Kluyveromyces lactis: one gene and its partner. The protein of the gene in region 1 interacts with the protein of each later gene in a biochemical or structural test. Links are inferred from orthologs where the notes say so. Each region holds a gene or a part of one and is shown on either strand. Other genes may lie near its edges.

Region 1 (3,229 bases):
TCTTATCGGTTTCGTATTGTAATTTCAAAGATTGTAGTTCCTGCTTCAATTCATTATATGAGTTCGCAATATTCTGCTGAGTGGAAATGGTTTTCTTAGCCACTAGTAACTGTTCTTCTAATTGGGATTGTTTATCAATGCTTTCGATTAATTGCGTAGATAAAGATGTCACTTGCAAAGATATGCGCTTTGACTCTTCTTGATCCGCCATTCTAAAAATAAGGCTACCGTCAGCTTTGCTTGTAGCAAGTACTTTCTGTTAGCAAAATCAGTGATTCATTTATTGAAGTAAATTACACAGGCGAGTATTTATGTATTTCATTAGTCCTCTGGTAATTTGGTTGATATATATTACATTCTTGATTTCATCAAACATTGGAACTAAATTCATTACCCGGTTTTAAAATGAAAATGTCAATTTCGGTATACGAATTATGTCTATGCAAGTATACACATATTGTAGTTATTAAATAAATGCTGAAATGAGTATTATGTAGTCTTTAAGCATCAATAAACTCATCTTCCGATGAGTTCGATGTGTCCATCAAATCTTGGGTTGGCGATAACGGTTTAGGATGAGGTCCAACTTCTAGGCTTCCAACAAATTGTAGTTTATTAGGTTGGTCTACTTTCACAGAAGAATCTTTTTTTTTCAGATCCCTAAGCTTGTCCTTTGCTTTGATTGGGGATGGAGAAGCGTCTTTTCTTTCGTCAGGGCCTCTTAATTCTAGTAATAAATTCCTTGCTCTATCTGCAGGGTCTTGTTTTGATGACGACAAGCTTTCAGTTTCAGGAAGGCTGGCCGATTTTTTAGCAGTAGGCGATTCGGTAAGCGTTCTATTTTGTTCCACGAAAGCTTCGATAGTACTATCAGCAGTGATGTTATCAAAAATTGATGCCCCGGATTTACCATCTAGTAATTTCTTTCTAGCCAATGCACGTTTACGAGTACTAGATGGATCTCCTTTTGAAGGAGCTGCATTTTTCAATTTATCCAAAAGCTTCTCTATATCGTCCCTATCATCAGACGGTTCTTGCGAAGTGCTTAAATTTTTTGCTGTTGCCTTACTATCTGCCTCCTGTTGTTTCCGTTGTTGATCTTCAATCATTTTCTTTCTCCTTTCGTAAGCACGTTCTTCTTCTTCCAGTTTGACATTATGAGTTTTAGCTTTCTTGAATTCGGTAATGAAATCTGCAAACTTTTGGAAGAAAGAGTTTTTAGAGAACTTGTCGTTGGCATCTTCGCCAAATTTCTTCATTAGATTTTCAAATTCCAGCAAACTTAATTTGATTTCATCGCTTAGAAGATCAGCTTTCTTTCTAGCTTCAGGTAAAACCGGTACTACCTTATTTAAAACACGATCTAACGGATGGAATTTAGAAGGGTCACTTAGGTTTCCAATTTCAATAGAACGCTCAACGTTAATTACTGACTGTGAAAATTCCTTACAATCAGTTACCAACTGTTCGATGGATATTTTTGTTACGCTAAAAATAGGCTCAAGCTCTTCCACGAAATGGCTGTATTCGGGATAATTTTCACGAATTATCTTTTCCACATAGTTCAAAAAAGTCATACTGTTCTTTTCATCTTTAATGAAGGTCAATCTTTGTAGGGTGCTTAGCTTGAACCCCTGAGCTTGCTTTGAAGAATCATTCATATAATTACCAACTGCCAAAATAACATCGAAAACATGTCTGAGACTTTCAGATTGTTCGATGCACTGAACTGCTCTATCAATTTTTCTTAGTTTAGTGACCAAATCCGAATAGTCTTTTTCATAAGTAGTTATCATAGTGATTGCTCTCATACGAGACCCCCAGTACGGTTGTAAGTTAATCATAAATTCAACATATAGTTGATCTGCACGTTGAAGTTCATTAGGATCTTTTTCGGGGGGTTTTGCATCGTCAACAGATGTCACTCCCTCCCAATCAGTACTGTAAGGATTGAAATATCGTGCCAAATTATTCGTTACTTCAATTATGGTAGGCTTTGACAAAAACTCTATTACGCTAGGAGTAGATAGGAATTCTCTATCACATTTCATTACCTTCCCAACAACATCTTTAACATCGAGGTTGGAGAACATATGTAGGTTAATACCAAATTGTTGGGAAACATCTCTCGATAAAAAGGTAATCTTTTCATTTGCTTCCTTAGACTTTCCTTTTAATGATTTGGTTTCTCTGGCAGCAAACGCTTTTTCTAATTGACTTAATACACCTCTTTCGAATAGATCGTCAGCAACCTTTTCTGCTTGAGCATTTTTCCAAATAGAATCCCCAGCATTGTCAATTTTTTCCCAGTGTAATTGTTTGAGCTTCTTCTTGGGACGAGGATACCTTTCAAAGAGAGATGGTGATTGCGGTAGTAAGGGACTTGTGACTGTCGCTTTGGGTGTGTTTGCCGATGGAAATGGTGGAGGTGGGGGAGGGGGAGGAGGAGGGGGAGGAGCAATACCAGGGGATAATGCAGTAGGGAGAGGAGATGGTACTGCAGTAAGAGTTCCACCTAATGATACCGGTAAGGGAGGTGGTGGCGGCGGTGGTGGTGGTGGCGGTGGCGAAGCAGCGGATACGATTGTTGTTGTTGGATTCGCTTCAATAGATTCGGAATCCCCGATTTCAGACTGCATTGTCGTTGGCGAATATTTATCATTCAAGATCACATTCGAGATCTTGTCGCTTCCCTGTTGAGCATCTGTCAAAATGGGTTTTTCTGTAAATTGACTGACTGGTTTTTCAGTACTCTTTAACGATGCACCAGGAGATACAGATATGCCAATACCCACAGGGACATCATCGATGTCATCTGTCATTTTAACTTTTGATTTTAGCTCAGTCAAAAACGGTGGCAGATGTTCGCTCGTCGCTGTTGGGTTCACTGTAGTATTCTTTAACCTATTCAAAAACGATTTTCTATGATAACCGCTTCCAGGATACCTAGTCTCGCGTCCCACACGACCACCATTCGTAGACGTGGCGGTCTGTTGTCCAGTTGAATACTTTTGAGATAATGATTCAAGGAATGATGATCCATTGGATACAATATCCGACCCATGAGATGCTTGTGATTGTGATGAACCATCTTCTGAAGAGGAAGATGCCGAAGACAACGATGACGAAGATGATGAACTTGAGCCGGTTTTAGGTCTATTTTTCATTTCTTCTTTCAATGCATTGAGTTCATCAATAATTGAATTCATTTCTTCTACCTTTCTTTGTA
Region 2 (3,908 bases), about 1.4 Mb from region 1:
AGTAAGTAGTTCGATCCCCTGGCTTGTAATTTCAGTAATATCATCAGCTGAAGATGGTGGATTTGAATCTGAATCTGAATCTGGTTCTGGCTCATATTTCTGTAGAAAATATTCCTCTAGTTTTGAGTCTTCCATTGAATCTTGCTCATTCTGTAGCCGTAGATATGTTTCCGGGAATCCAACTTCAATTTCAGCATCCGATTCTATTAATTCGTTTACAAGGTTGTCGTCTCTGGAATTAAACGTTCTACGAGATATTTTTCTCTTGGCTAAACCTTTACTCCGTGAATTTTCATCGTAGTGGTTATTTTTATTTCTTCCTTGTCTATTACTTTCAACTGTATTGTTATCAAGTGCTTTCTTCCACGCCATTTTGGGTAATACACCTTTGTATCCTGTTCTGATATTGACTTGCCTTCCTCTAAAAACAACGTTATCATCATAGGATAAACTGGATCTATCAAACTGATTCGAGTCACTTTCCGAATGACACTCGTCACGAATTTCATCGCTGTCTAGTTCAGCATTACCATATACCTCATCATCATCATCATCATCTGAAATATGGAAATGGTGATGCCTTCGAAGCCTTGTTGACGCAATAGTCGAGTGTTCTTGCTGTGAAAGGCCGCCCTTCACAGGACTCGAATTGAGCACGCCCCCATTGTCCGTATTAACAGTAATATCTTGCCGGGAACCACTCGGCAGATTGATATGATCTGCTAGAGATTCGAAATTAGATACATCGTACCCTTGCAATAACTGCCGATGCCGTATTCTATCCAAACTATACGGCATCTTCTGGATTGCTTTACGCTTTCTCAATGCACGTCTTATACTATTAGAGTAAACTCCAATATCAGGAGGTGTCTGTGCTACGTTATCGAGACTGCCCGGAATGACGCGTACCTGGTATTCGTCATCGAAGATTGGAAATACATTTGGTTCCGAATGCAGAGGTATTACGATCTCTTCATCACTAGCCTCCGAATTGGGGACTACAGAGTCCTGATTCATCCCACAGAAACCACGCTATATGTCATACGCGGTAACACGTCTCTGTTGGTTGCTTAGCTTCTGAAATGGTAAGTTTCCATACTTTCCTGTTTCATTATCTCGGCCTAACTTCAGGAAATTACGTTTCTTGATATTTATCAACAAAAGATTTATGCAAACCAAATCAAACCTAAAGCTTTTTGATCTAGTAATGCTTTGAAGAAACATACCGTTTAAAAAGTGTACGTTGGATTTCCTAGCTAGTAGTTAGGTGTGTGGAAGCAGTAGGGTGAGGTACGTAAGGTGTGTCTGATAAAGATGGAAACACCACCACCAATTTCTAAATCAGCATCATCTGTGGAAACTAGTGTGACGAAACTATTGATTTCAACTAAACAACTATTACAAATTCTGACGCAATGGTCCAAGGGCAAAGTTACCGAGCGTAATGTTTCCGATGTGTATGTTCAATTGGGTAATGATTTCAAGTTAGTCAGTAGACATTTTACCCATGCTAGAATTGATATTTCGGATCTTGGCGATGTGCCAAAAGACCTTCGAAGAATATTGGAGGTGGCATTGAGAGAGACTGCATCTGAGGAAACGTTGAATAAATACCTACCGCAGATCAGAGATATTATAGTTAAACTCTTGGAGAAACTTAAGGTTAAACAGGCGATGATAAAACTGAGCAGGAATGAAGATGCTTTGAAATATCAGCATACTCCTCAAAGATCTTCCGTTTCATCCGTAGTCAGCGCAACGACATCTTTGGCTGGCGCGGGACCGACATCTACTTCAGCTCATATTGAAACAAAACAGATACCTACGTTAGAAGTTCCCAAGGGTTCTGAAAGCGATGCGTTAACTCAATTGAAAAAGGGAAATAATCTGCAAAGAAGAGCCTCGAAGAGGTTTTCAGCGTATCATATGGCGAAATTAGCCAACCAAACAGCTTCAGATCCATCGAATTCCCCAACGTCTAAAAATTTAGCAGTTCCAGCCGCTGCTGCAGCGGCAGCAGCGGCCAATGTTTCTGATACAGAAAGCATTAAAATGGAAAGACAGCCTTCTCGAATCTCTTCTGCTTCATCCGTAGATTATCATCCCATGACAGGAGCACCAGAACCAAAAGGTGATAACTCAAGCATAGATGAAATTGTTGTCTTTTTGAAGATCGGTGAGAAGGTGAAACGATGTGTAACTAGTTCTCACCTCTCTTTCAACAAGCTTAGACTTTTATTTGTTGAGAAATTTGCATATTCCCCAGGAGGTGATGTATTCCCTGACATATATGTGAAGGAACCCAAATACGAGGCATTTTACGAACTTGAAGAGAGTCACCTACATGGTATAATAGATGGGAGCGTATTCCAATTACAGGTACAATCATCGTCTCTAGATGAACAGTTCCGCCAACTTCAAGATGGTTTATTAGAAAAGCAAGATACAATTTTTCAAAATTTGAAAGAGATTATCCAAAATAGTACTCACGTATCGTCACCAGATTATTCAAGTGGTCCAAAATCCTCAGATTCTGCAACAGTTATACATGAGGATCATCGTAAAGAAGTTGCTCATATTAGGCACGAAATTACCGTTTTAAAACAGATACATAGCGACCAAAAGAGATCGCTTCAAAATACTATAAACGCTATCGTGGAAAAACTACAGAAATTCCAGAGCCTTTCAATAACTACAGGAAAGTCAGCTAATCGCGATTATATGGAAAAGTCCCAGTCGAAGTTATCCGAAGTTTCTGATAATCTTTTGAGTAAAGTTGACGATCTTCAAGATGTCATTGAGGCATTACGTAAAGATGTGGCCATTAGAGGTGCGAGAACACCCAAGAAGAAGATTGAAAATGTATCGTCTGAATTAGACTCCGCTAAGAAGGATTTGGATCAAATGAGAAATTATATAGATGTCGAAAAGCCAAATTGGAAAACTATTTGGGAAGCGGAATTAGATAGGGTGTGTGAAGAGCAACAGTTCATGACATTGCAAGAAGATCTCGTATTTGATTTACAAGAAGACTTGAATAAGGTTATGGAGACATTTGATTTGGTTAAATTGTGCTGCGAACAACAGGAAAAGGCCCCAAAGAAGAATAAGGGAAACCCCATTCTTCCGATAGCCAAGCCAGGCACATATAATATGATCCGCGATCAAGTCTTGACTGAAGTTCAGAATCTCAACCCAGATCATGACAGTAGAGTGGAAGCCATTAAAAAGGCAGAAAAACTAAGAAACAGAGAGAAAGAGTACAAGGAAAATGAAGCCTTTGAAGATGAGTTGGGCAATTTCGTTGAGAAAGGTAACTTCAAAAAGGCCGGTGGCATTGAGGAGATAGAACGCCTAAGAAAACAAAAAGACGAAGAAAATCTGCGTGTTAATTTTGGTCTGATATAGGTACAATAATTTTAAGTAATAGCATTAAAACTCTATTAATAGTTTCAAATCGCTGACATTTGTCAAAATGTCTGCAAATGCGTTCTTCCTTAATTTTAATTGTTCAAGGAAAACTGACAACACCAGTTCTTTTGACGCGACGGACTTTTCCATCGAGAACATATTAGCTGAAGAGAGGTTAAGATCAATTCGCTGAAAAATGTTGAAAACAAATTGTTTGAAAGATCTTCTGCTGCTTTTCTTCCTATTAAAAAGGACAATGAACGATTGAATTACATTTAACGCAACTTCTCTCAGGAACCTTGCAGCCGTTTCCCAAGAATTTAAGCGCTCGTCCAGCATATTATAAGATAGTCTCATCTCAAAGATCCAGAGTAATTTATTATACAGTTGCTTAGATGATCCCAAAACTGTTCCTAGGACATTATACGATGAGCGGTCTTTCCAAACTTCTAGGGTTCTTAGATTTAACTGCAGTGCACAAAAAGGTACATTTGTTG

What was found.
Region 2: the proteins of BNI1 (region 1) and BUD6 form a complex in vitro, tested with the Saccharomyces cerevisiae proteins (5 studies listed by BioGRID). The link is inferred for Kluyveromyces lactis from reciprocal best matches to the Saccharomyces cerevisiae genes BNI1 and BUD6.

The regions. Positions count from the first base shown.
Region 1 is NC_006039.1:196,033-199,261, forward strand, and holds the end of BNI1 (formin BNI1), read right to left. Parts: coding exon 501-3,229; downstream 1-500. Other genes in the region: guanine nucleotide exchange factor SEC2, read right to left, coding at 1-211. UniProt on the Saccharomyces cerevisiae protein: Required for the assembly of F-actin structures, such as actin cables and stress fibers. Nucleates actin filaments. Binds to the barbed end of the actin filament and acts as a leaky capper, slowing both polymerization and depolymerization.
Region 2 is NC_006039.1:1,621,433-1,625,340, forward strand, and holds BUD6 (formin-mediated actin nucleation enhancer), read left to right. Parts: upstream 1-1,314; coding exon 1,315-3,408; downstream 3,409-3,908. Other genes in the region: MMS22 (Mms22p), read right to left, coding at 1-1,017; EST2 (telomerase reverse transcriptase), read right to left, coding at 3,433-3,908.